Canis lupus familiaris: one gene and its partners. The main gene of each other region encodes a partner of the protein of the gene in region 6 in a complex. Links are inferred from orthologs where the notes say so. Each region holds a gene or a part of one and is shown on either strand. Other genes may lie near its edges. The genes, in order: GTF2E2, RRN3, POLR1H, GTF2F1, UBTF, POLR2H and TAF1B.

What was found.
Region 1: POLR2H (region 6) and GTF2E2 share a complex: the UniProt entries of both Homo sapiens proteins name them as parts of the TBP-based Pol II pre-initiation complex. The link is inferred for Canis lupus familiaris from reciprocal best matches to the Homo sapiens genes POLR2H and GTF2E2.
Region 2: POLR2H (region 6) and RRN3 share a complex: the UniProt entries of both Homo sapiens proteins name them as parts of the pol I pre-initiation complex. The link is inferred for Canis lupus familiaris from reciprocal best matches to the Homo sapiens genes POLR2H and RRN3.
Region 3: POLR2H (region 6) and POLR1H share a complex: the UniProt entries of both Homo sapiens proteins name them as parts of the pol I pre-initiation complex. The link is inferred for Canis lupus familiaris from reciprocal best matches to the Homo sapiens genes POLR2H and POLR1H.
Region 4: POLR2H (region 6) and GTF2F1 share a complex: the UniProt entries of both Homo sapiens proteins name them as parts of the TBP-based Pol II pre-initiation complex. The link is inferred for Canis lupus familiaris from reciprocal best matches to the Homo sapiens genes POLR2H and GTF2F1.
Region 5: POLR2H (region 6) and UBTF share a complex: the UniProt entries of both Homo sapiens proteins name them as parts of the pol I pre-initiation complex. The link is inferred for Canis lupus familiaris from reciprocal best matches to the Homo sapiens genes POLR2H and UBTF.
Region 7: POLR2H (region 6) and TAF1B share a complex: the UniProt entries of both Homo sapiens proteins name them as parts of the pol I pre-initiation complex. The link is inferred for Canis lupus familiaris from reciprocal best matches to the Homo sapiens genes POLR2H and TAF1B.

Annotation. Positions count from the first base shown.
Region 1 is NC_049237.1:34,561,308-34,564,807, forward strand, and holds part of GTF2E2 (transcription initiation factor IIE subunit beta), read left to right. Parts: intron 1-1,280; coding exon 1,281-1,388; intron 1,389-2,959; coding exon 2,960-3,142; intron 3,143-3,500. UniProt on the Homo sapiens protein: Recruits TFIIH to the initiation complex and stimulates the RNA polymerase II C-terminal domain kinase and DNA-dependent ATPase activities of TFIIH. Both TFIIH and TFIIE are required for promoter clearance by RNA polymerase.
Region 2 is NC_049227.1:28,745,348-28,748,847, reverse strand, and holds part of RRN3 (RNA polymerase I-specific transcription initiation factor RRN3), read left to right. Parts: coding exon 1-124; intron 125-2,095; coding exon 2,096-2,204; intron 2,205-3,500. UniProt on the Homo sapiens protein: Required for efficient transcription initiation by RNA polymerase I (Pol I). Required for the formation of the competent pre-initiation complex (PIC).
Region 3 is NC_049256.1:27,778,227-27,782,320, reverse strand, and holds the start of POLR1H (DNA-directed RNA polymerase I subunit RPA12), read right to left. Parts: upstream 2,801-4,094; 5' UTR 2,755-2,800; coding exon 2,364-2,754; intron 2,280-2,363; coding exon 2,179-2,279; intron 1,881-2,178; coding exon 1,771-1,880; intron 717-1,770; coding exon 692-716; 3' UTR 648-691; intron 78-647; 3' UTR 1-77. UniProt on the Homo sapiens protein: Core component of RNA polymerase I (Pol I), a DNA-dependent RNA polymerase which synthesizes ribosomal RNA precursors using the four ribonucleoside triphosphates as substrates. Can mediate Pol I proofreading of the nascent RNA transcript.
Region 4 is NC_049241.1:54,168,236-54,172,515, reverse strand, and holds the start of GTF2F1 (general transcription factor IIF subunit 1), read right to left. Parts: upstream 2,801-4,280; 5' UTR 2,338-2,800; coding exon 2,326-2,337; intron 2,240-2,325; coding exon 2,193-2,239; intron 1,672-2,192; coding exon 1,599-1,671; intron 1-1,598. Other genes in the region: adenylate kinase isoenzyme 1-like, read left to right, coding at 2,985-3,078. UniProt on the Homo sapiens protein: TFIIF is a general transcription initiation factor that binds to RNA polymerase II and helps to recruit it to the initiation complex in collaboration with TFIIB. It promotes transcription elongation.
Region 5 is NC_049230.1:19,061,984-19,064,670, reverse strand, and holds part of UBTF (nucleolar transcription factor 1), read right to left. Parts: coding exon 2,578-2,687; intron 2,284-2,577; coding exon 2,242-2,283; intron 2,118-2,241; coding exon 2,004-2,117; intron 1,917-2,003; coding exon 1,761-1,916; intron 1,447-1,760; coding exon 1,291-1,446; intron 1,189-1,290; coding exon 1,078-1,188; intron 458-1,077; coding exon 369-457; intron 265-368; coding exon 75-264; intron 1-74. UniProt on the Homo sapiens protein: Recognizes the ribosomal RNA gene promoter and activates transcription mediated by RNA polymerase I (Pol I) through cooperative interactions with the transcription factor SL1/TIF-IB complex.
Region 6 is NC_049255.1:17,408,546-17,412,809, reverse strand, and holds the start of POLR2H (DNA-directed RNA polymerases I, II, and III subunit RPABC3), read right to left. Parts: upstream 2,801-4,264; 5' UTR 2,639-2,800; coding exon 2,566-2,638; intron 1,200-2,565; coding exon 1,116-1,199; intron 1,033-1,115; coding exon 939-1,032; intron 1-938. UniProt on the Homo sapiens protein: DNA-dependent RNA polymerase catalyzes the transcription of DNA into RNA using the four ribonucleoside triphosphates as substrates.
Region 7 is NC_049238.1:6,879,370-6,883,434, reverse strand, and holds the start of TAF1B (TATA box-binding protein-associated factor RNA polymerase I subunit B), read right to left. Parts: upstream 2,801-4,065; 5' UTR 2,714-2,800; coding exon 2,696-2,713; intron 1,045-2,695; coding exon 946-1,044; intron 1-945. UniProt on the Homo sapiens protein: Component of RNA polymerase I core factor complex that acts as a GTF2B/TFIIB-like factor and plays a key role in multiple steps during transcription initiation such as pre-initiation complex (PIC) assembly and postpolymerase recruitment events in polymerase I (Pol I) transcription.

The DNA of each region.
Region 1 (3,500 bases), on a different chromosome or scaffold from region 6:
GGTAAGTATAATTCCTGGCAGTGGAATTACTGGATTATATGGTATTGCTAACTTTTTGAGGAACCTCCATGTTGTTTTCACAGTGGCTGCACATCTGCATATGTTTTTTAACTCAATACTTTGTCCTGGACATCTTTCCCTATTAGCACGTAGAGAACATTTGCATTTTATTTTTTTAAGACAATATTTATTTTGGAGAGCGAGAGTGCATGCGCACTGGCACAAGTGGGATGAGGGTGGGAGGGAGAGAATCTTCAAGCAGACTTCCTGCTGAGGGCAGAGCCCGATTTGAGTGAGGTTCAATCCCACAAGATTATGACCTGAGCTGAAACCAAGAGTTGAATACTCAACTGACTGAGCCACCCAGGCGCCCCTGCATTTTCTTTTTAAACATCTGTATAGTATTGTAGTGGTGCTATAGTTTATTAATTAGTCCTCTGTTGATGACCATGGGTCATTTCTAATGTTTTCTTTTTGCAACCAGGGCTGCTGTGACTGTGTCACTAATTGTGAGTTGTGTGGGCATATCTATCTGTAAGGTACATTCCTAGAAATGGATTGCTGGGCCAAAGGGTTAAATGCATTCTTATTGGCAAATTGTGTTCCCTAGGAGTTGTATTAATTTGCGTTTTTACCAGCAGTGTGTTGGGAGGGCGTGTTTCCTTATAACTGACAGAGTCATCAAACATGGATTTTGCCAGTGTAATAGGTTTGAAATATTTTGGTGGAAATTGAGTATCTTTTCATATGTTTATTTCCATTCATTTTCTGTGATTTTTTTTTTTTTTTAAGATTTATTTATCTTAGAGAAAAAGAGAGGGCTGGGGGTGGGGTCAGAGGAAGAGAGTCCTAAACAGTCTCCACACTGAGCACAGAGCCCAATGCGGGGCTCAGTCACCACCCTGAGATCATGACCTGAGTTGAAACCAAGAGTTGGACACTTAACTGAGTCACCCAGTGCCTCTTCCTTTTCTGTGATTTATGTATGTTCTGGTCCGTGGGTCATTTTCCTGTTAGGGTTTTGGGACTTTTAAAATATTAGGAGGATTAGCTCTTTGTGATACAAGTTGAGAATATTTTCTCTCAGTTTATCATTTGATTTTAAAGAGCTACAAGTTTGAACCTGGTTCTGATTTTATAGTCCCATTTTCTTCATCACTATAATTGTATTGTCTCAAATAATACATGTTCTACATTCCTGAAAGATTCATTTACTTCTATTACTTAATGCATCTAGCAGTTTAAAACTGTCTCCTAATAACAGTTTCTTCTCTCAATAGACACGGCATCAGCGAGGAGATACACACCCTCTCACTTTAGAAGAAATTTTGGATGAAACACAACATTTAGATATAGGACTCAAGCAGAAACAGTGGCTAATGACTGAGGTAAGAATAGGCTTAAAATGGAGTTAAAAAAATTAGTTGGTTACCATGAAATATTTATTACAACTAAGGTTTTTAATATACTGAAATCTGATAATTATTTTTACTTATTCTTAAAAGAATTGGTATAGGGTCTTTGTTTTTTAAACATACACATTTTTTAAGGTGGTTTGATTTGTTGATTTTCTTAAAAATTTATGTATCTAAAATGTCAAAGACCTTTAGCATGGAATTATAAAGAAGTCAGTCATTGTACTGGTTCCATTTAAGTTTTTACAGATAATTGATATTTTTTTAATTGCTAAATTTAGAATTATATTGTTTTTATATATGTTTTAGAACATTTGAATTATGAGGTAGTGTAGGGCTAGGGAAATATTTGTTATGTTCTGACTACTATTATGAGTTGATAGTGATGTTACTCTGACAGATTACTTGGAAAACTCATCCTTACATTGTGTATGTACACACATTATTGGAAAAAAAGAAACCCCACAATAATCACTGGCCCTACTAATTTGGAAATAGCATTTTTAAAAATTCACACATTTCAGTCTTTTCTTTTTCAGTATGAAATGAAAATTAGGATTACTTTCTGTGACCCATGTTGTATTCTAAAGATCAAATGTAAAATTCCTAAAGTATAATTCAGTAATTTTACTGAGCAAAGTATTGTTCTTAATTTTTATAATATAAAATCAATGGCTAATCAGTAACATTATAGCTTGTTGTGGTTGTGATATACAAATAGTTGTCATCCACATTTGAATTCAGTTGCTTTACCTAATCTTGAAATTTCATAGGCTACCAATAATTAGTTAAAAATTATTTTTATTACTATTCTGTTCTCCCTCCTTTCTTCTATGTTTCTTTTCTTTCTCCTTTTCAGGGTCAGGCTGGCAGCTGCAGAAGAAAATAAATAGGGTAGCTCTTCCTTGAAGAGCTTTCCTTCTGGTAGTAGCTGTACAGCAGAACTGACTAGGAATATAATTATATTCAATAATTCCTGCATTCCTACTCAGTTTCATTCTCAAGCTGCCATTATAGGTAAATTTCTTGTATGCACTAGTCTGGTGCTTTTCCGTTCCTTCCACACCTGTAATTGCCATCTGATACCAGGTGGGGCAGACTGTTGGTATATTCATCCCAGGGTGATGTTTACACATAATGTCAATATATAATAAACTGTACTTTGAGGGTGGGATAGGCAGTACCCAGTTCACTTTGTCTATTAATGTTAATTGGCATTTATTGATTCTTTATCTTCTTTTATCTTCCAAAAAATATGGGTACAGTTTCTTCACATCAGTTGTGATGAAATGGTTTTTCTCCTTTAAAGAATTAATGTAATAATAAAAAGTATCATCATAAAAAGTGAGTAACATGCTGCTCTCTGCCTATTGGTTTTTGGATCCTGGATGTCCAGTATTTTAGATCTGCTAGTTGATATTCATAATATACTTTTTAATTTACAATTGTATTGGGTATCGGTATTTTTTAAATAGTAGAATTTAAGAATGTGTATATGAGGTTTCTCCTTTTATTAATATATCCAAATTGTGTCACTGTTACAGGCATTAGTCAATAATCCCAAAATTGAAGTAATAGATGGGAAGTATGCCTTCAAGCCCAAATACAACTTGAAAGATAAGAAAGCCCTACTTAGGCTGTTAGATAAACATGACCAGCGAGGCTTAGGAGGAATTCTTTTAGAAGACATAGAGGAAGGACTGCCCAATTCCCAGAAAGCTGTCAAGGTAACTTCTCTTTTCTTTCTAAGCCTTAGTATAATTTGAATTAATAATGTCTTGTTTTAAAAGAAACAGCAAGTGTTTTTAAATTTTTTTTTAAAGCTTCCATTATAGGGAATCCCTGGGTGGCTCAGCGGTTTAGTACCTGCCTTTGGCCCAGGGCGTGATCCTTGGAGTCCTAGGATCGAGTCCCACATTGGGCTCCCTGCATAGAGTCTGTTTCTCCCTCTGCCTGTGTCTCTGCCTCTCTGTCTCTGTGTCTCTCATGAATAAATAAATAAAATCTAAAAAAAAAAAAAAAAAAGCTTCCATTATATATATTTGGGGTTGCGGTGAGCCAGCTGAAGATTTGATATTTGGGTTC
Region 2 (3,500 bases), on a different chromosome or scaffold from region 6:
GATTCAGGAGCAAAGGCATTTTGTGACGTTGCGCTCCATGGACCCTTTTACTCAGCTTGCCAGGCTGTGTTCTACACTTTTGTTTTCAGACACAAGCAGCTATTAAGTGGAAACCTGAAAGAAGGTCAGTGATGTGGGATTGACAGATGTGAACTGGATTTTCCTGGGATGCCAGTCACTCTTTAGAAGGGAGAGTTGTTACTTTTTTGAGAATTTCGTGAAAACTCTGGAGTCAGAATAATGTCCATGCACTCAGACTTTGACCCTTATTTTCCAGCAGCCCTTGAGCTCCTAAAGCCCTTTGTAGCCCCTCTGGAGCAGAGGATGGACTTGAGGTTGAGCACTCCATTTTAGAGGGTGGCATCTAGAGTACTTGTGAACCGTGAAGATGTTGTTCGTAGAGGCGAGGCCTGGCACAGTGCTCCCTGCTGTCCTCGGGATGGCCCCTGAAGAGTAGGCATCATTCCCCCTTGTGGGGACTAGGCACACACAGGATATTGATTGGCAGGATTAGAGAATAAAACCAGATGGGTATGATTCTAAAGCTTGGGGTCCTAACAGTTACTCTGCTTTATCTAAGGACTTAAGCATTAATCTTCAGTTTTGCTAATTTCTGAGGGTTGTGTATATAATTTAAATCTACCAGATGAAGCTTGTTTATCAGGTTAGTGTGACAAGAATAGCATTAAGTCAACTTAAATGGTTTTATTTATTTGCATGAATAATTCAAGTGGTTTAATAAGCTGTTTCCTCTAAACCAAATGTTCTCAAGCTCTGACATTTGGGGCTGGTTCTCTAGTTGTGGGCTCCGTCCTGGGCATTCTATGATGGTTGGCACTCTACCCGCTAAATGCTGGTAGCATTAGGCCCCCCTCCCCCCACCAACTCTGTTGTGACAACTCAAATTCTCAGACACTGCCACATGTCCTCCTCGAGGGCACAGCTGCCTTAAGAGGTGAGAACCACAGCTCTGAAATTGAACTGTATGTGTTGATTGTATGTATTTACTTATATCCTGTTACTTCTAAAAAGATTAGGACTAGTTGTATAAATCAGGAGAAGGACAAGGTTTTAGCACAACGTAAGCAAAGTATTTTTTTTGTGTATGTAAATAAATGGTAAGATAGGTTGACAAATTGAATTTAAATTTTAAAAAATGGTAAGAGTCTTGGTTAAAGAGGATGTAGTTCTTGAAAGCCATGACATTTTTAGTTATTTTTATCAGAATATACATCAAAGATGGGGTGTCTGGCTGGCTTAGAAGAACACGGGACTCTGGATCTCTGGGTCGTGAATTCAAACCCCACGTTGGGTGTAGAAATTACTTAAATAAAACTTAAAATACATTAAAGAATCTCCTAAGAAAAATGTACTTAAGCATAGATTGGCTTGCTTGCCTTTAAAAATAAGTGTGCTTTCTTTTACTAATATAGGAGAGAACTATATTTACTTGTTCCAGGAGAGTGGTAGCTCTACCTCTGTAGTTTCCTTGTGAAAAAAAAAACACAACTGGTAAATGAACAGCTATTGCACACTTGAATAATTTGCTCAACTTCACTAATAATTTCAGACATTCAGGTCTTGCTGTTTGTTTGCTCTTGTCGGATTGGCATATTTATCTGTTTGTGGAAGTAAGGAAGGAGAAACTCCAAATTGTATAGTCACTACCTCTTGGGAATGGACACTGAGTGTTGCCTCAGCTTCGTATTGATTTCATGATTAACTGAAATCAAATCACGTGGGTTTCCCCCCCACCCTCTAAACTCAGGATATGCTGAGCTTACAAGTACCCAACTTCCAAATTGTCACAGAAGTTCATTGCTCACTACAGATGTGTGCTTACTTCCTGTGTCTTTGAAAGAATATGCTGTTTTCTTTAGAAAAGTTGACTTCGTCATAAGGAGGTGTGTGATTAAGCCTGGTGACATTCTGTGGGGCTCTGCATTGTGTGACTACATGGACCTCAGTTATTTAAAGCATTTCTGCAAATAACTGTGAGAATTTTTTTTGATGTGTGAGATAATCTGTGCTGCTTAAAGATACTTAGACTGTTATGTTTGTACTTTTAATAAAGTGTTTTGTTTTTTAATCAAAGGTTTGAGATACCTTCAAAGTCTAAATTTTGAACGTATAGTGATGAGTCAGCTGAATCCCCTGAAGATTTGTCTGCCTTCGGTAGTTAACTTTTTTGCTGCAATCACAAGGTAAGTAAGTTATTTTTACCTTACGGGGGGGAAACTATTTAAAAATATATTTATGGGGCAGCCCGGGTGGCTCAGCGGTCAGCGCCGCCTGCAGCCCAGGGCGTGATCCTGGAGACCCGGGATCGAGTCCCACGTCGGGCTCCCTGCACGGAGCCTGCTTCTTCTCTGCCTGTGTCTCTGCCTCTCTGTCTCCTACTCTGTGTCTCTCATGAATAAATAAAATAAAATCTTTAAAAAATATATGTATATATATATTTATGTTAGTGTCAGTATTGTACAATTCCCCTAAATTTCTATGAAATTATTCAGTAAAATTAATAACCATAAAACATGTAAAAACCAGTAAGCGTGTACTTGCAGGAAACATTGCAGTTAAGCTTTTGTTTTTTTATGATTTTTACAAAGATATTCATTAGGATGATAAACAGACGGGATGTGAGAGGGTTATGCCAGTAGGAGACAGGCTCTTACAGGGGCCGTCCAGTCAGGCCCATGACTCCAGGCCGTGCAGAGTAGGTGCTGTGTCCCTGCACACCTGGACGGGTATCACACTCAGCTCACTGTCCTCACCGTGTGAGGACTGTAGTGGTAAGCCCTGCTTAAAACGAGGAAAGTAGGGACACCTGGGTGGCTCAGTGGTTAGGTGCATCTGCCTTTGGCTCAGGGCCTGATCCTGGAGTCCTGGGATCAAGTCCTGCATCAGGCTCAGCATGGAGCCTGCTTCTCCCTCTGTCTATGTCTCTGCCTCTCTCTGTGTGTCTCTCGTGAATAAATAAATAAAATCTTAAAAAAAAAAAAGAAGGTGGAGACCCAGAGAGACGGGATGACTAATGAGAAGGGGCTCCCTGGTGGCAGAGCCAGCATGTGAACACAGGCAGTCTCTGGTCCTCTCCGAATTCTTCTGCCTAAAGTACAAAGTGAGATGGAGACTCTGAGCCCTTGATCAGAATATTCAGGCTAGGATCATGGCTTAAAATCTATAACAGCTAGGAGTCTCTTCTGGTACAAGACAAAGATAATTCTTTCATCATTTAATCCCCTTTAGATCACTTGCTGCTCTTACTTAGGGCCCTTATTTTTCTTTTGTTAGGCTTGTAGTTCAAGGTGTTCTGTCTCCTGAGGACTAGTTCTGGGGCCCGTCCTGAGATCTCAAAAATGATAACAGAATTGAGGAAAGGAATGAGCAAGCAAGAAGGTCTGGGGTGTGAAAGGCCCAGCACATGGCGGGAAGGTGGGAAGCAGCAGATGAAGAAAAGCTGAGACAGGAGCTCCTAGAATATTTGTGGGCTGGGAGCA
Region 3 (4,094 bases), on a different chromosome or scaffold from region 6:
GTTCCAGCTCACACGTCAGACACATCTGGTTACGTTATCTGCTTATCTCCCAGCATCTGGGCTCCTGCTTTGTTTCCCTAAACTCAGGAACCAAATACATTTAGTCATGGAATACTTGTAATTACTTAAAAAAAAAAAAAAGATTTATTTATTTATGTGAGAGACAGAAATAGAGGCAGAGACATAGGCAGAAGCAGGCTCCCTATAGGGAGCTGGATGTAGGACTCAATCCCAAGACCCGGGAGATCATACCCTGAGGTGAAGGCAGATACTCATCCACTGAGACACCCAGGTGCCCATAATTACTTTTTATATTAGTCTCATTCCTGCCTCCATTTTTTGTCTTTGGTAGTTTCCTTTTTCCCTTTTCCTTCTCATACACTAATTTATACTATATTTTTTGTAGCTGATATACTTACTGAAAGAATATATTCTCTGTAAATCCATTTAAATTCCTTTTGGAACAAGACATTATAAATAACAGGTATGTCTGGCTTATATAGAAAAACGTAACCTTGATAAAGAAACTCAACTACAGTAGGTGTACTGTAGGGACAATGGTAATGCCCACATGATAATCTCTGTCTATGGGAGCAAAGCACTGCAACCAGGATAGACAAAGCATCTAAGAACCCAATATCCCTCACCTTTCAAGGAAGAGGGAGAACTGATAAGGTGCCCAGAAAGAAAATCAAGAGTCTTCCTTCTCCTGGAACCTATGGAGAAAGAAAGGACTCATTATATTTAGGCACAGAGGTTTTAGCAGTATAAGACAAACATTCACGTGAAAAATTAAGGAGGGAGTTTTATTTATGACATTGTAGATGACTAGCTCCCCGAAACAATCCTTCAAATTCAAGACAACTAAAAATCCTGGACTAAAAACCTAAAGGACAATGAGATAAAATCTCACACAGATCAAAATGGTTAAAAGTAATAAGTCAGGAAACAACAAATGTTGGCAAGGATGTGGAGAAGTGGGGAACCTTCTTGCACTGTTGCTGGGAATGCAAACTGGTGCAGCCACTCTGGAAAACAGTGTGGAGGTTCCTCAAGAAGTTAAAAATAGAGCTACCCTATGACCGGGCTGGATGAATCTGCACAACCTGCGACTGTTATCTTGGGGTTGAGTTCAAGCCCCACAGTGGATAGAGATTATTTAAAAACAAAATCTTAAAAAAAAAAAAAATTTATTTACTCATGAGAGACACAGAGAGAGAGAGAGAGAGAGAGAGGCACAGACACAGGCAGAGGGAGAAGCAGGCTCCATGAAGGGAGCCTGATGCGGGACTCGATCCCAGGACTCCAGGATCATCATGCTGTGGGCCGAAGGCAGGTGCTAAACCACTGAACCACCCAGGGATCCTGAAAGCTAGGTCTTGATAAGCGTGGTGAAAGTACAGAACACCGAAGACAAGGAGTTCTCAAATGGTTCAGGTCTCTCTGGTTCCTGAAATCACAGGTGATTCTCATAAAAGCAAGAGCACTGGAACAAGCAGCAGGATTCAACACGCAGACCACCCAGAAATACCTGCCTTCTCTCTGTTCTCACTCCTTTAAACAGCTTAAAAGCTTCGCTTCACTGGCTATAAAAAAAACTAACAAAAATGTTCTTTTTCAAAAATAAAAAAAAAACACAAATGTCCCTGTTACCTGAAAAGAGGACAGGACCAAAGGAAATAACCGGTTCTTGGGTACAAGAGGGAAGTCACAGGACATGTGTGGTTAAGGGCCAGAGGGAGAGGGCAGAGGGCCAGGGAGGGGGCACACCTGCAGCTGGTGCAGGTGTAGAAGACGGTCTGCCCCTCGTCAGCTGAGCGCATCTGTCTGGTGTGGTAGGCCATTCCCTCGTGACCACATCGGGAGCAGCGCCTGTCAACCTGGCAACCAAAGGGGGGGGGGGGTCAGGGAAAGCCAGGATGACCCCTGCTTCCTACAGGAATCTCGTTGCATGCTCTCCCCAGCACCCCTGCTCCAAAGACCTCTGTTTCCCCAGACCTCAGCACTCAACCCTGCAGCCCTTCCCGCTCTCCCTGTGGATCAGTGTTGGCATCACTCACTCACCACGGGTCGCTGGAGGTCGGGCTCCTCCTGCACACCCGTTACCCCAGACTCAGCACTCAACCCTGCATGTCTCCCCGCCTTCCTTGTGGGTCAGTGCTGGGGTCACTCACTCACCACGGGTCCCTGGAGCTCTGGCTCCTCCTGCACCGGCGCGGGCACCGCCGTCCCCACCTGGTTGAACACGATGCGGGTCCTCACCACCTTCCCCTCGAAGTCTGCGGAGCGGTAAGCGCTGGCTGCGGGCACCCCCGGACCCTCCGCCGCCCCCCGCAACCCGGCCGCTCCCGCCCCCTCCTCACCCCGCACGGGGACGCCGAAGCCACAGCGCACACAGGTGACCGCGTCCTGGGCCCCGGGCAGGGGCAGGACGGAGCCGCAGTCCGGACAGAAGTCCAGGTCCGACTGGAATCTGGAGCCGGAGGGCGCGGGGTCCATGGCGCAGAGGGTGCGACGGTGGGCAGCTCCGGTTCCGTCCAGGGACCCCGGCGGCCGCGAACCGAGCCCTCCTCCCTGGACGCGCGAGGCTCCGCGGGAGGACCGGCCGGCGTAGTGCGGTCCTCCAGGGCAGGTGAGAGCACCCGCCGAGCGGAGCGGGCTAGAGCATCCGCCGCGCAGACGCCCATTGGTCGTGACGTCACAATCCCTCGCCCAGACCGCAGTCCGCCGCGCCGGCGCCCTTGGGTGTAACATCACAATCCGGCGCCCAGACTGCTGTCCGCCTCGCCGGCTTCTGTGGGGTTGTGACGTCACAATACGTCGCCCCGACTGCTGTGCGCGGCGCTGGCGCCTTTGGCCGTGACGTCACAATCCGGCGCCCGGCGCCCCGAGAGCCCCAGAGCGGGGGTCGAGCGCCGTGGGAGACGGACGGAGGTGCCGACGCCGGGATAGGAGCTCGGGTAATGGCCGCTGCGCCTCCGGACACTCCATCAGGAAGAAGCGCAGTCCGGGGATACGTATTTTCTGGGACCCAACCTCGGGAGCGTTGCTTGTGGAGATGTTGCTGAGCTTCCCGAACGCCGCCGCGCCGCCCCGGAGCCAGTGGGCCCAGCTCCGCCCCGCCGGCCTGACGTGCCCAGGACATGCTCTAGGAGCGGGCGGGCCAGGGAGATGAGGGCGAGGGCCGGGGGCGGGGCGGGGCGGGGCGGGCGGCCCAGGCCCGGGGCTGACTTGGGGGCCGTCCCCCTCCGCCGCGCCCAGCGGGTCACCGGGGAGTGACGAGCACGGTTGCCGTTCCCGAGCGTAAGGCTCACGGTCGCTAGGGAGCCGAGCTGCGGCCGCTCGCCAGTAACCACCGTCTGCGGGGCACGAGGAGTTTCTGAGCCGCTGCCCCCGTGGCTCCCGTCCGCCTGTCCCCGCAGGACGTCGTTCTGTCCGGCTCGAAGGGGGCGGTCTGCCGTTTAGACCGCGAACGTTAAAATTAGCCTGTTAACCTCTTTGACTCTGCTCCCGACTCCGTGACCGTGCAGTGCTGCTCCACGCAGAGTCCAGCGCGATCCCGATGGGCCGGTGTCGTGAGGCCCGGGCCTTTCCAAGTGTCTGTGGAGCTGGGGCGGCACCGTTGGAAAGGATGCTGTGACCTCAAGGGGTACGAAGGACACGGTGGAACCCGCCACGAGAGACCCACACAGGGCCTAGGACTATGGTGTCTGCACCTCCAGGAGGACTCGCTGATGTTTCAGTAAAAACGTGGACATGGCACCTCAGGAGCAAAGGAGAAAGGTGCTCGAATACCAGCGACAAGGGAACCAGAAGATGAGTTCCAGAAACTGTTGCTGAACACAAACCGTGCTGGGTTGTGTTCTGAAAAGTAATAGGACGGTTACCTTTGTTAAATATCAGAATAGGTGTCCACGGACAGATAGGAACATAGGCAGGAAGTCAGTGAGATCCAATAACTGATACCAGGCTCATTCCAGTAACAGAGACACATCGTATTTGTCAATCTAAATTATAGATTACCTCCCGTTTACAGTCTAAATTTCAGCATGAAAGTGTTACAAATGATACAGGTATCACCATGGAAACCCTGG
Region 4 (4,280 bases), on a different chromosome or scaffold from region 6:
CCCCACCCCCACCCCCAGAGTGATCAGGGATTTGGAAACACTCCACCTTCTCTGGGTAATTTAGGTGAGACCAGAGGTTGGGGGAGCATGTTAGTTTGTATATGAATGTGCATACGGCTGGAGATGCTGGGGGGCAGGCAGCCTACAAGGGAAGAGGGTGCCCTGAGCAAGCATCCACCTGCCCAATATCCAGAGGGACTAACGTCTCTTTCAAATAGCCTCACTTGCTCAACTAGATGAAGGGATGTTTAAAAACAGTCAAAAGACAGACCGGTGCTGAAAACAGGATGAGCAGCAGGAGCTGCCTGAAGCTGCCAACTTTAGACCTGGGCCAACTCCTGTGCTGGGCTGGTCCAGTCTCTGTGGCTTCAAATGCTGCCCCCAATGCCCAGATGCTCCCTCCCAGTCTCCCAACTCAGATGCTCCACTGCTTATTTACTGTCTCCTCCTGGGTGTCTGATATAAGATGTTGAGAACTGAACTCCCAATACTCTGTCCATCCGGCCCTGTCACCCGTCAACATCCAATCATTAACAAATCATGTTGGCTCCACTTTAAAACACACTAGAATCCACTGACTTCTCACAACCGCTGTTTGCTCCATGCCCAGTCGTCACTCACCTGGACCACCGCCGACGCCTCCACCCTGCAACACCCTTTGTCTGCCCCTGATCCTATAGCACCCAGATCAGTTTATAACTCCCCTGTTTAGAACCCTTTAAAGGTTTCTGCTATAGACTGAATGTTTGTGTTTTTTTTTTTTTTTTTTTTTTTTTTTTTTTTTTTAAATTTTTTTTTTATTTATTTATGATAGGCACACAGTGAGAGAGAGAGAGGCAGAGACACAGGCAGAGGGAGAAGCAGGCTCCATGCACCGGGAGCCCGATGTGGGATTCGATCCCGGGTCTCCAGGATCGCGCCCTGGGCCAAAGGCAGGCGCCAAACCGCTGCGCCACCCAGGGATCCCTGAATGTTTGTGTTTTATCCCAAAATGCATATGATGAAACCTAACTCCCGGTGTGATGGTATGGGGAGGTGGGGCCTTGAGAAGGGGATTAGGTCCGAAGGGTGGAGTCCTGGTGAATGAGATGAGTGCCCTCTTAAGAGCTCTCTCACCCCCTCTGCCACGTGAGGACACAGTAAAAAGACAGACATCTACGAACCAGGAGGCAGGCCTTCACCAGACCAAACATCTGCTGGCGCCTTGCTCTCAGACCTCCTAGCCTTCAGAACCGTGAGAAATAAATATGTGTTGTTTAAAAGCCACCCGGTCTGCGGTATTCTGCTGTAGCAGCACCCATGGACAGAGCTTCCAAAAACCATCTGCAGGCTGCAGCCCCCTCGGCCTTGCCCAGATGACTCTAGGCTGGAAATGCCCGTCAGGGGGCACAACTTCTAAATGCCATCCTTTCATGAGGCCTCCTGTGGGGCCTGCCCAATCTTCCTCACAGGGATCCCTAGCAGCTCAGCCTGGGCCTCAGTACATCGTCTTATCCCCACTCGGGGAGCGGGGTCGAAGCCAAGCCTTAGTTTTACCACTGTAACTAAGCGCCTATTGCAGGATCAGGTTCTTACGCTCACTCCCAACGGGGACTTACCTGATTCCAGGTAGCAAAGTTGACTTTGTCAGCAGCATTGAAGGCCATGATGTTGTATTTTTTCGTTGTGTTTCTGGGGTGGGCAAAAAGAGGGCTGCTCTCAGTTCACCGTTCATTTAACAAACCCTCCCTTGGCTCAGCAACGCTGGGGACCCACAGAAGCCCTCAGGGGTTCCCGGTCTCTCCCGACCCCTCTGCTGAAGAAGAGCAGGAGGGGAGGCATAAAGGTCGGGGGACGGGGGGTGCCCAAGGTGTGGGAATAATGGAGACCTCTGTCCTGGGGGCGGGGGCGGGGGAGGGCAGGCAGGGCATGTTTCCCAGAGGAGGAAGATCGTGGGGCTGGGTTTTATAGGACCGACAGGAGTCACAACGCCAGGGAAAAGGCCTTCCTGCCGAGAGAAGGCTAGGCCAGGGGGCTGCATCCGACGTACCGCCCACTAATGGGCTCATTCATTCATTCCGTTGCAAACACGGGATGCACCTCGCTCAACCCCAGCCCTGGGCCCAGGTCCCTGCTCCTCGGGAGGCGGCATCACCGGCGGCGCCAGGCTGGCCTGGGAGCTCAGGAAGCGGGGAGAGGGCTGCGGGACTTACTTGGGAACTCGGACGACATACTCGGTGACGTTCTGGCTGCTGGGGCCCTGCGGGCAGAGAAGGAGGGGCGGTGGGTGAGTGGGGGGCTGCAGAGGCGGCGCGCCGCGACCCCCGAGCTCCCCCGTGTACTCACGAGGGCCGCCATGGTGACGGTCGGGGGTTCGGGTCCGCTGCGGCCCGCGCCCCTCAGTCCCGGGGAAGCCGCCCGCGCGCCGTCGGGTCTCTGGCCCGGATCGAGGGGGCCGCTACCCAGAAGTCGGTCTTCTCGGGGAACCGCTCCGGCCGCGTCTGCGCCTGCGCCTAACCTGGACGTGACACTCGGGCCGCGGCGCGACGGCAACCTCCTCCGCGTCACCTAGCTCCCCGAGTCCCGCGGAGCGGACGGCCCAGACCGACCCCGACGCGGAAGACACCCCGGCTGCGGCGGAAGCCGCGTCGCGCCTCTCTATAAAGCGCGACTGATTTAATCAGCCTGTGGCCACGCCTCCTCGTGACATCACATCCGGGGGCCGCGGGGCGTCCTGGGAGAGGAGGGAGGAACCTAGCCTCCCTCGCGAGCTCTCGGGCGCCTCGCGCATGCGCCACTGCACTCCGGAAGTGAGTCGGAGGAGGCCGCGTCACCATAGCGACCGGGGCCTCTTAGTCCGCGCCGAGCTGTTGGGGCGCCGCCAGCTGCGCCCCTTTGGGTTCATTTCCTCCTTCTGCCCCGGGGAGACCTCATCGTCTCGCCAAGTGATCGGGCCCTTGTGACGTAGAGCCGAGCCAGGAGGAGGAGTCAGGGCCCGGGTGGGGATGGGGCGCGACCACCCCAGGGCCGCTGGTGGGATGGGTCTGTGCAAGTCCAAGCTGCCCGAGGTGGGCAGGCCCCTGCGACCCCAGGAGAAGGGTAACGTCGCAGGGGCGGCTGGCTCACGGGGCGGGGGGGAGGAAGGAGGCCGTGAAGGGCACGAGGGAGGTGCAGGTACCCCACACCCCAGGCCGGTGTGCACACGCCCCGCCCCCCACCCACCGAGCTGCACGTGCTCGAGGATCAGCCGCGCTTTGATCCGCTTGGGCACCTGCTGCGCGGGGTTCTGGGCACTCCACGGCGAGTATGTCACACTAGCTGTCCGGCCTCCAGGAGATGACAGTGTAGACAGGGAAGGAGACAGTCTCAGAAAAATGGGATCGGCGAGCAGGAGGGAGCAGGGCTGCCACGGGGAGAGAGGAGCCGGCTCTGCGGCCCCCAGGAGAGGGGAGGTTTAAAGTTTACGTTGGGCCCTGTGGGATGCCTGGGAATTCACTAAGCCAAGCGGGAGGGAAGCAAGACACGGAAATTGCATTATCGACTACTGCGCTGCCTTAGAGACGCCTGGTAGCCACGCACCTTCGTTTGCTCATCACCCGCTACCGCACGTCAGGGACCGTGGCAACTGGTAGAAACCCGGGGACCAGCAAGACAGAACTGGTCCTTGCCCTCCCGGAGCACAGAGTGTGGCTGGGGAGACGGACAAGAACAAGGAAACAGGCAAAATCCTAGCTGACCGTGGCTGCTGCAGTGGAGGAAATGTGGCCCTGGGACGGGATGATGCGGGGGGAGGTCGGGAGGGGAAGCCTGATGGGCGGGCGGGTGGGCTGTGTCCTGAAGGCGGCGGAGCAGGGACTTGGCGTGCAGGGGGAGCAGCGGGAGAGGGATGAGTTTGGCAAGTTCAAGGGACAGAAGAGGCCAGGGGGGCTGGACCAGAGGGAAGGAGGAGGAGGGCGTTGTGGGATGGCCCAGAGGGGGCGCAAGTCTGAGCCTGTTTCCTCAGCTGTCAAACGGGACAATCGAGTCATTGAGGTTTTCAAGGAGATGCTGTGTGCAGAGGGCATGGCCTGCTCGCAGTCTGCATCCTCTTCGCAGCCCCCCAAACCCGCCCCTGTAGCAGCGCTAACCCGTGCCCTGTGTGGATATACCACTGGGCATGGATGCACACCCCCAGATGCCACCCTAGGGCAAAAATGGGTAATGCCAGGAGACCCGTGTCCCGCGTCACTCACCCGAGGACACACACTAGGCTGTGGACACAGACACATCGGTGCGTGCTGGCCCCTGCAGGCACCAAACCC
Region 5 (2,687 bases), on a different chromosome or scaffold from region 6:
AGGATCACACCCGGAGCCAAAGGCAGATGCCCAACCACTGAGCCACCCAGGTACCCCCACCCCAGCCCTCTCACCTTGACCCAGAGGTCCAGATGTACTTTGTACTGCTTCTGCTGCTCCTCTGCCAATTTTTTGTAGTGCTCTTTCTGGCTCTGGGAGATGCGCTGCCAGCGGCTGCCAATCTCCACCATGCGCTCTTTCAGCGGCAGGTGGTTCAGCTCCCCATTGGACAGCAGCTCCTGGGAGAACTTCTGGTAACCGTTCCTAGGTGGTAGAGTGGCACAGGGAGGGTTAGGACGCCTACCCTACAGCCATCCAGCCATGACCCTTCCTGCGGCCAAGGTGGGTTCTAGCCCCCTTAGACTCACATGGGAGGCTTCTTGGGTTCTCCTTGAAACTTCATCTTCTTGGATGAGTTTGCAGCAGTTGGGGGTGCCCGCATCTCACTCAGCTCTCTCTGTGGGGACACTCAAAGGAGTCACGCTCACTCCACCCCTCACCCAAAATTATTTCTACCATCTGCCCCACGCCATCAGTTGCCTTAGAAACTGAGGCCGAGGGATTCCTGGGTGGCGCAGCGGTTTGGCGCCTGCCTTTGGCCCAGGGCGTGATCCTGGAGACCCGGGATCGAATCCCACATCAGGCTCCCAGTGCATGGAGCCTGCTTCTCCCTCTGCCTGTGTCTCTGCCTCTCTCTCTCTCTCTCTCTGTGACTATCATAAATAAAAAAAGTTAAAAAAAAAATTTAAAAAAAAAAAAAAAAAAAAAAAAAAAAAGAAACTGAGGCCGAGCGGAGGAGCTACGTCCTAACAGGTCACACCTGGGCCAGGCGCCCCTGCTTGGAAGTGCTGTCACAACTACACTCACATGACTGGTCTCACAGCCCCCATGTACTGATTGATGTGTGACTGAGGCTCAGAGAAGGAAGCTGGCAGATTTGCTCAGGGTCACACAACCAAGGCTGGGACTCCCAGCTCCACAGCCCACCCACTGAGGACAGCTGCCAGCCCAAAAGGGTGCTCTGACCCCCAGCTCCCTAGGGGCCACCATGCTGACCAGCAGAGCCCTTCTTCCCACCTCGTATCGCTTTTGGTCTTCGGCTGCCTTCTTAATCCACATGAGTTTCTCTTTCTTCTCCATGTTGTTCCAGGTCATCTCCATGGCTTTCAAGGCCTTCACCCGGTCATTCTGGAGAGAAACAGAGGCATCAGCTATGGGAGGGGTCACCTGGGGCTGGAACCGGCCCGCGAGGGCAGGCCACTGAACAACCCCTTTCGGGCTCCCTGCCACCTTGAAGCGGGCCAGGTAGTCCCCGATGACGCTCTGCTGCCAGATCTCCTCGGCTCTCTTGGGTGACTCGGGCAGCTTGCCCCGGTCCTCGCGGTCCCCGCCTGGCTTCCTCTCCGACTGGGCCTTCAGCGCCGCCTCCCGGGCCTTGTACTTGGCCTGCGGAGGGCCGGCAGGGCGTCATCCTTCCGGCCGCCCCCAGGGGGCGCGCGTCCCCCGTCCACAGTGGAGGCACCCCCCCCTCTCCCGGCAGGGCGGGGCCGGCAGAGGCTTGGGCCGGCGCAGATGTCCCCCCCTGGGGCTCGGCCTGGGGCTCAGCCCGCCAACCGGCTCTGCTCCCCGGGATGCTGCGGAGCTGCGGGCCCCCTCGGCACCTGAGCCCAGGCACAGGGAGGGCTAAGGGAGGGCTAAAGCGCAGGCCGTGGCTGAGGAAGTGTGGCCCGCCCCTGGGGGAGAAGCCCCCGAAGCCTGACCTTCTTCTTTTCGGACAAGTCGTTCCACATGCGGGCCAGAAGACGGGTCAGCTCGCTCTCCGAGAGCTCGGGCCGCTCCTCCTGCAGCTGCCGCCGCTTCTCTTCAGAGAAGATGAACATGGCCGACACCGGCCGCTTGGGCTTCTCTGAACCGCCCTGTCGGTGGACAGAGGTCGGGTCCGTGGGGGTGTGGACAGGGAGCCCCATGTTCCCCCACCACCGCCCGTTGTGCCCCCTGCCCACCTTGCCCCCTTCCTGCGAGGGCTTCTTGGAGGCGGGGCTGGTGGCTTGCTTCTTGTTGATGCTTAACATCTTCTCCTCCCCCAGGACCCGCTGCTGTTCCTCCTCTGGCAAGCTCTGGTCCAGAGACAAGACGTGGCATGGGGCTGCGCACCTGGGAGCCAGCTCCTCCCAGGTAGTCCAGAGGGCCCTGCTTAATCCCAGGGCCTCTGCCCAATGCCCCACCTACGAGAACACTCACCTCTAGGAAACGGAGAAGCTCCACCTCATAATCTTTCTTTTTCTAGGAAAGAAGGGGAGTCCGGGTCAGTGTGGGCACATACCTGCTCGTTCCCAAGGGACAAGAGCCTTCTACAAAATGTTCGGAGCCTGGACAGGGCCTAATCTCCTTCTATAGACACTAGACAGGCAGCCTGGGGGCCATCTGGCTTGATCAGCCCAGATGCTAAACCTAGCAGACTAGACGAAGTTTGTAGCAGGTGTTTGAGACACGTTTGACCACTGACTGACCCCTAGTTGGGGTCAGATACTCCCAAGGCCCCAAGGGTCTCCAGACGTCCTCTTTAGCACAACCTACCTGGTCACACTTCTTGTGGTAGGCATCCTTCTCCTTCTGGGAGAGCAGTTTCCACTGCTGGCTGCATAGCACCATGCGCTCAGTGCTGGGCACGTCCTTCATGTTGGCCA
Region 6 (4,264 bases):
CGTTTTCCAAACACAATGCCATTTAGTCCTCCCAGCAACCATATGAGCAAGGTGTGATCATCTGCACTTTACTGATGGGGAAACTGAGGCTGCAAGAGGTTAAAGCCATTCAACAAAGAACTGATAGGGCTGAGATTTGAACTCAGTAGAGCTCCAAAGCCCTTCCATCACACCAAACTCTCTCCCAAGACGCAAGGCTCACATAGCCTGGGTCACTTGATGGTCATCTCCTTAGCCATCGATAAGGTACAACCCACAAGCATGTAATTGCTGCCCTGGAAAAACACCTGGTTGTTAGAATTTTTTTTTTTTAAGATTTTATTTATTTATTCATGAGAGAGAGAGGCAGAGACACAGGCAGAGGGAGAAGCAGGCCCCATGCAGGGAGCCCAACCCAGGACTCGATCCCAGGTCCCCAGGACCAAGCCCTGGGCTGAAGGCAGCGCTAAACCACTGAGCCATGAGTCATCCAGGCTACCTGGTTGTTTGAATTCTTTTTTTTTTTTTTTAAGATTTTATTTATTTATTTATTTATTTATTTATTTATTTATTTATTTATGAGAGACACAGAGAGAGAGAGAAAGAGAGAGAGAAAAAGAGGCAGAGACACAGGCAGAGGGAGAAGCGGAGGGAGAAGCAGGCTCCATGCAGGGAGCCCGACACGGGACTCAATCCCGGGACTCCAGGATCATGCCCTGGGCCGAAGGGACTCCAGGATCATGCCCTGGGCCGAAGGCAGGCGCTTAAACCGCTGAGCCACCTGGGGATCCCCATTGAATTCTTAAGTGCAGCAATTTCCTTAAGGTTGCTCAGATACTACTGATAATCATTTATTCCACAAATTAAATAAGGGTTTTTTCCTATACCACTTATCTACTTAGTCCTCAAGCGTATTTCAAGTACTCCTTTCCTGAGAGGGAAGTACTTCACTTCCTCACCTGGAAGGCCTATCATCTGTGGGGTTGTATTCACCGTCATCCAGGGTACCATCTTCATATAATGTACTGGCTATGACCAACCGGAACTTGTCACCTGAAAATCATGGCAATACCAGAGGCTAAAGAACAGCTGAAATGTCAAAAAGCCTTCTGCTATTGTCTGTGTTCAATACTTACCCAAGTCTACAGGGTAAATCTGAATGTTTACATCTAAGATCAGGTCCATTTTGAAAGATTCACTCTCACAATGTAGCCGAGACACTGGAGGGAGGTAGAGAAAGAGTGGCATAGGTAATTGCCAGGCTCTGCAGACCCTGCAGACCCCACTTTGGGGGATTACATGCAATTGAGCACTCATTCGAACCCCATCTGCATCCACTAGCCTCACGTCTGCTCTCAAAGAAGTGCAGACTCAATGAGAACCAGATATGCCAGAAGGAAAGGAGTGAAAACTATGGCAAGTGGACAGAATCCCAGAAAACAACCAAAGGTCCCTCTGGCAATAAATAATATCCAGGTTCTAGGCCTGCCTAGGTGATTAACAAACAACCTGACTTTAGACAAGTTATTCATTCATCCAAAGGTTTTGTCTTTTTTTTTTTTTTATAAAGATTTTATTTATTTATTCATGAGAGACACAGAGAGAGAGACAGAGACAAAGGCAGAGGGAGAAGCAGGCTCCCTGCAGGGAGCCCGACTCGGGACTCCAGGATCACGCCCTGGGCCAAAGGCAGGTGCTCAACCGCTGAGCCACCCAGGGATCCCCCCAAAGGTTTTGTCTCAGGGCGCCTGGGTGGCCCAGTTGTTTATCTGCCTTCAGTCCAGGTCGTGATCCGGGGTCCTGGGATGGAGCCCCGCATCCGGCTCCTTGTTCAAGCAGGGAGTCTGCTTGTCTCTCTTTCTCTCCCTGCCCCTCCTCCTCACTCATACGCTCTCACTCTGCTTTCTCTATCAAATAAATAAATCTTAAAAAAAAAAAAAAAAAAGTTTTGTCTTTCTGTGCCAGCTGCTGTGCTGAGTGGACTATCAGGACTGTTAAGACCTGGTGTTTGTCTTGAAGAACATCTCAGTCTCTGGACAAAAGAAGAGACCCCCAAGGAGGCCCAGTCTGATCAACGGCAGAATAAAGAGCTGTATGGCAAGCAGCAATCCTAATTCAGAGCGGATGTCACAAAGGGCTAGAGATTCTCAGGACAATACAAGAATACAGGCTCTGAAGTCGGACTAGTCACTGTGCAGCCTTGGGTAGCTTACTTAACTTCTCGGGGCAAAATGGGTAAGACACCAACTACTTCATGGAGGCTCCTGAGAGAACTGGGCAGGACGAAGTGTGTGTAAGGTGCACGCTACAGCGCCCAGCAGAGTGGGGAGCGACTGGAAGATGCACGGGGGTGCACCAGCACCATGAGAACGGGCCACCCAGGCACCGGGCCAGCCTGTGTGGAGCCAGGCGGAGTTCGGGAGACGCCGAGTTCCCATCGATCCAAGGTCTCCTGATGGGGATTCCTGAGTCAGGAACTGCCGGCAGGGGCGGGCCACGCGGCGTGGGTGGACCAGGGGCCCACAGGCGTGTCCCCGAGGAGGTTACCCCCTGACTCGGCCGCCCCTACGTCTACCTCCACCTTACCTCGGTCAAACTTCTTGCCCTCCGGGTCAATGTCTTTCACATCGAAAATATCCTCAAACAGGATGCCCGCCATGGTGAGGTGGCCACGAGAGTACGAGAGGGGCCGGGAGCGCGACCACGCCTAGGGGTACGCGCTCCCCCTCGCGTGGAGTAAAGGAGAGAAGGAGAGCGCGCGCCCAGAGAGCGGCCGCAGAGCCCTAGAAACACGCATGCGCGCGGGCAGGCAGCGCCGCCGCCACTTCCGCCGCCTGGGCCTCGGGGCTCGCGGACTTCCGCCCCGAACGACGCCTTCCGAGAGGCCTCGGGAGTGGGGGGCGGGACTCGGGGCCGGGTGGCTCCGCCCCGGGGCGGGGACCCGGTTAGTTCCACCTCCAGCCGAGGCGGCGCGGCGTCTCGCTGTACGCGGAGGCTCGGCTGCGCCCTCTTGAGAGGCCGGGTCGGGACGCCTGGAATGCGGGCGGGCCTACCCCAGCCCGGGACCTTGATCCTTGGCCCGGAGAAGCCCGGCGCAAACCTTCCCCTGCTGGTCTGCGTGCCCGCCGAGGGCACAGTCCACGCGGAGGGCGGACGGGGCGGAACTCCGCCCCCAGCGCGCTGACCCTGCGGGGCGCAGAGCCCAGTCCCCACAGCTGGCACCGAGGCTTCCTAGCCGGGCCCGGGCTGGACCGGGCTGGACCGGGCTGGACCGGCTTGGCCCTGCTGGATGTCACCCGAGCCGGCTCCGTCCCGTTTGGGAATTTGCCATGATGTCACTATGGGGAAGAGGAAAGCCTGCGCTCGTCCCTTCCCCTGGTACAGCACCCCCCTACCACTGCCCTCTTCCCCGGGGCCCCACTCTCTTCCACTCCGCCTCTTCAGCCCGGCTGACGGCTGGCGTTTAACCCCATCACACAGCGCTGCCCCTGCAGCTTGGTACTACCTGCCCCCCCCCCCCCGCCTTCTCCCTTGGACGCTGATCTACGTGCCCCTTCAGGCTGGCACCGTCCGCTCCCACGGATACGAGCCCCCCCTCCTCTTGGGTGCCGCTCCTCTCACACTGCCCCTTCCTGGGCACCGCCTCTGCCTCCCGCGGGCCCCTCCATCCTGGTACTGCGTCCTCCCGCACACTGCCCGTGTCCTGGGCACCCGCCTCTCCCCTAACACGCTCTCTCCTACATTGTCCATCCACCCTGTGCTCACCCCACCCTCTGCTCCATCCTTCTCCAGACCCTGAGAGAGAACACAGATCCCCAGGTGGCGGCGAGACGTCAGCAGCTACTCGAGTTTCTCCTTGGGCCCCGCCAGGGAAAAACGACCTCTGTACCCCCACGCCCGCCTTCCAGGAGCCTCCTCGCCAGCACCTAGACATCTCTCCCCTCGGGCCTCACCCCTTCACCTTTCCTCCCTGTCTCCACCCCGTACACCCCGCAGGCCAGGTTGCTCCAGGTGTGACTTCCTAGAAGAGGAACCCTGGAGAAGAGGAGGAGGGAAGAGGATGAGAGACACGGGAGGGTCTCAGTTCCGAGCATCACGTCCTCACCCCCGCCTTCTGGGCCTAGCGTCCCCCTCCGAGTCCCTCCAGCTTTGCTTCTCACCCTCGACGGAGCAGAGAGGGGCCTTGCGAGGCCCGTCTGAGCCGCTGCCCGCCCCCCCACCCCCACCCCCAGAAGCAAGAGAAGGCGTCACTCCTGAGAGATTGAGCCCAAAGGGTGTGATTTAG
Region 7 (4,065 bases), on a different chromosome or scaffold from region 6:
AAATCTAGTCCCTGCTACTCCATCTTGGCCAAAAGCAGAAGTCTACACAGTTACTTTTATCTGTCTCAAATTTGCCTTTCTTAAGTCTATGTGGTAAATGTAATATTTGTTCTTTCCTGGCTTTGGAGACTTTGAGCAAATCTTTTTCCAAAGTGGAGCCCTGGCATGTTTACCTGTCCAATAGCTGACTGTCCACACCCTTGATTATTTTGGTTATATTGCCCTGAATGTGTGGTGATTAGAACAGGACCTAACACTCACTCCCAGTGTGAAGGGGGCCTCATTTACCAAGGTTATATCAGACAGTATGACAATCTCTAGTGTAAGAGGCAGGTGTGATGGGGTAAAATGAGCACTGTAGTCACAAGACTCAGGTTCACGTCCTGGCTCAACACTTTATACTTGTGTGACTTTGGCAATCTCATTCAACTCCTGAGCCTTACTTGCCCCATCCATGGATTGGCATGGTACTATATCTCACAGGTGTTTATGAGGAGGAAATGAAATAATGAATAAGACTTTGTAATTTCTAAAGTACTGTACAAAGATAAAATGATAATGAAGCATATTTCCAATATTCCCGTCTTCAATCTTTACAACATTCCATCTTCCAAACCTCTAAGCTACCACAACACATAAAAACTTATATAGGTATTAACAAATAAAGAGAAATGCATCACCTTATAAGTACAATTTTAATTATTTTCCCTTATATTACACAGTCTGAATCATGAAATTATTTATAAATGCAGCCCAACATCTTTTCAAAAACCCATCCTAAATCTAATTCCTTAACTCACGTGTAAACACTTGAAGACTACTTACGTTCTTGGAATTTGGGCAGTACATGAGTGACAATGATTATTTGGGAACTAGGCTACATATCAGGCTAAAATAGCAATTTTTAAAACATTAGCAGACTCATAAATGATCTATATTACTTACTTCTGTAACGTTGTGGCAAGAAGTGCAATAATATTTGCCTTCATCAGTAAGACCCCAGGAGACAGCAGCACACTGAGTACATCTTTCCTTGAACTCTTTCTATAGAATATAGAAAAGCTGTTACTATCAAGCCATATTCAACACACTGCACCTAAACCCTGCAGTTCTACTTAAAGGGTTCCCTGGAATTTTAACCTACAGATTAAAAGAAAAAAAGGAAGGAAGGAAGGAAGGAAAGAAGGGAGGGAGGGAGGGAGGAAGGGAAGGGAAGGAGGGAGGGAGTGAAGAAAGAAAAATGTATCCAAGAGATTAACTATAAACAAAGAGAAAGAAAGAAAAATGTATCCGAGAGATTAACTATAAACAAAGAGAATAGTTCAGTCTTTTGAATAGTTTGAAGTGGAATTAAATGATTTAAAAAGTTTCTAAAACACAGTGTGTGAAGGGGGAAAAAGAGGAAGAAAAGGTGGTAGGGGTAAAATGGGAAAAAAGGATGAGTTACTAAAACTGCAAAGTGCTGTGAGAAAAAAAAAAGAGGACAAGATTTAAGTAAAGACAAAACCTTAAAAATAAAAACTGCAAACCATTTGGAACTTTCTCAATGATACTAGAAACACATACAGCAAAAGAACCAGATTTTTATTGGGGTTGTTCCGAGTTTCGATTTATTCATCCAGCAATATAAGGAGCATCACCTGTGTACGCACGAGGCATTTAACTAGGGGCCGGGGATTCAGCGGTGAGCAAAACAGACGTGATCTCTACTCACAGCAAACACGGGCTAATGGTGAGATACAGTCACTAATTTCATTAACCCAGCACGTACGGACGTTAGCCTCCATCATCCAACAAACATTTATTGAGCATCTATAACAAGTAAGGCCTTCTATCACCCTAACGCTTCTGTACCTACACAGGCAGACCCTAAAAGGATGGGTCTTTGACCTTCTCTTTGATCTAATTGCCGAATACTCCTTTACCGCAGCACAAGAGAGCAGTGGTTGGCGCAGTGTGTCAACAACAACAAAAAGGAATGCGGAGGGGCACCTGGGTGGGTGGCTCAGGGCGTGACCCCGGGGGGTCCTGGGATCCAGTCTCGCATCAGGCCCCTCCCTGCAGGGAGCCTGCTGCTCCCTCTGCCTGTGTCTCTGCCTCTCTCTCTCTCTCTCTCTCTCTCTCTGTGAGTCTTGAATGAATGAATGAATGAATGAATGAATGAATGAAATCTTTAAAAAAAATGAACCCGAATTTATTTCAACAACAATCAATAAATAAAATCTTAAAAAAAAAAAACCGAACCCGAATTTATTTCAACAGGCCGGTGAAGTGTGCGGTGCCCGCGTCCTGATCACCTGGATAAATTACCCTGGAGAGTTTGGAATCACCGGACGGTGGCGGGGATGCCGAGGGACAGTTGCGGGGTGGCTGGGGGGGGGGGGGGGGGGGACTCAGGAGCCAGCCCGTCGGACCCGGCTCTCCCACGCCCACCCCGCCGTCCAAGGAAACTTGCGGGTGGCCCGGTCCAGAGGGGATGGGCCCGTGGGTGGCCACCCCATAAAACCCACAACTCCGTCCTCCTCCAGAAACACACCCACGTGGACGCCCCGCCCTCCCTCACCCCCACGCTCACCGGGCCCGAAACGCCGGCCTCTGTCCCCGAAGCGCGCGCCCCCCCCCGCCCCGCCCCGGCCGCGCCAGCGCTTTCCCCGCCCCGCAGCCTTCCGCCTGCCCCGCTCCGGCCCGTGCTCACCGCCTCCTCCAGGTCCATAGCGGTGGTGGTGCCGCCGCCGCCGCCCCCCGGCCGGGCCCGTTACCCGGGCAGCGAGCGCAGCTTCCGGGAGCGCCGGAAGGGGCCCGCCGGGCGGAAACCCAGACCGCGGCTTGGGGTTCCGGGCGCCTGGGGCTGCGGGTTCGTCTCCGCGCGCTGCGGGGAGCAAGCCCCGCGCGCCCTGCAGCCCCAGCCCAGGCTGCTCTCCTCCGCCCCGGCGACCGCCCTGCAGCCCACGTCGGAAGGAGGCCGCTCGCGCCTCCCGCTGAGCCCGCCGGGTCCCAGCGTGGACGCCGCCGCCCCGTCGGGCTTTCACAGGCGCGGGAGCGGCGTGGGCTCCGGGAGGGAGGCGCGCGCTCGCGGAGCTGGGCCCCGTGCAGGCCCCGTGTGGGCGCCCTGGGCCTCGGTTTCCCCCGCCGTCAGACTCGGCTACTGGCTGCCCCGGGTAGTTGGAAGCTGGGGGAGGAGTCTACACCGTCTGGCCCCTGCTTTCAGCCCGACGCTCGAGGGGAGAAGAGTCCGACCGGGGCAGAGGCAGAGGTGGAGAGAAGGCCAGGTCCGCGGGGGCTTGCGCAGGATGAAGGTGCGGGAGACCGCGGGAAGCTCGGACATTCTGGAGATGCGGGCTTCGAAGGGCCACGAGGATGCCCGACGGGCGGGAGGAGAGAGAGGCAGGGATGACCGCAGGGTCTCGGGCCTGAGCGGCCTGAGCGCCTGGGAGGGGTGAAGCCCGACTGAGCAGGGCCAGGCCGCGCGGGGACAGCGTGGGAATCGGGGAGAAGAGGAAGCAGGAGGCCCAGGTAGGATGAGAGGACAGCTTGATCAGGGAGCCGAGCGCTCCCAGGTGACGTCTGGACTGGGAATGCTCTCGGCCTCGATGGTATTTAAAGTCCTGAGACTTTCGAGATCATCAAGAGACTGGCTCTTCGCGGCGCCTGGGTGGCTCAGCGGTTGAGCATCTGCCTGCAGCCCAGGGCGTGACCTGGAGACCCAGATCGAGTCCCACATCGGGCTCCCTGCAGGGAGCCTGCTGCTCCCTCTGCCTGGGTCTCTCGTGAATTAAATAAATAAAATCTTAAAAAAAATAAAAATAAAAAAAGACACTGGCTCTTTATTCACTCACTCCTTATTTGCTTGTCTATTTATTTATTTCACAGTTATTCAACATCCACTCTACGCCAGGCACTGTGCCAGCTATTGGGAAATGAGAGGACAGAGTCCCTGCCTACAAGAGCCATCCAGTCCAGTGCAACAGTCGGTCACATTATTTTATCATGGCACTAGACAAGTGTTCTGTCCAGTTGTGTCACCCATGTCATTTGCCAGGCTTGCCTCTGTGCGACTTGAGACTC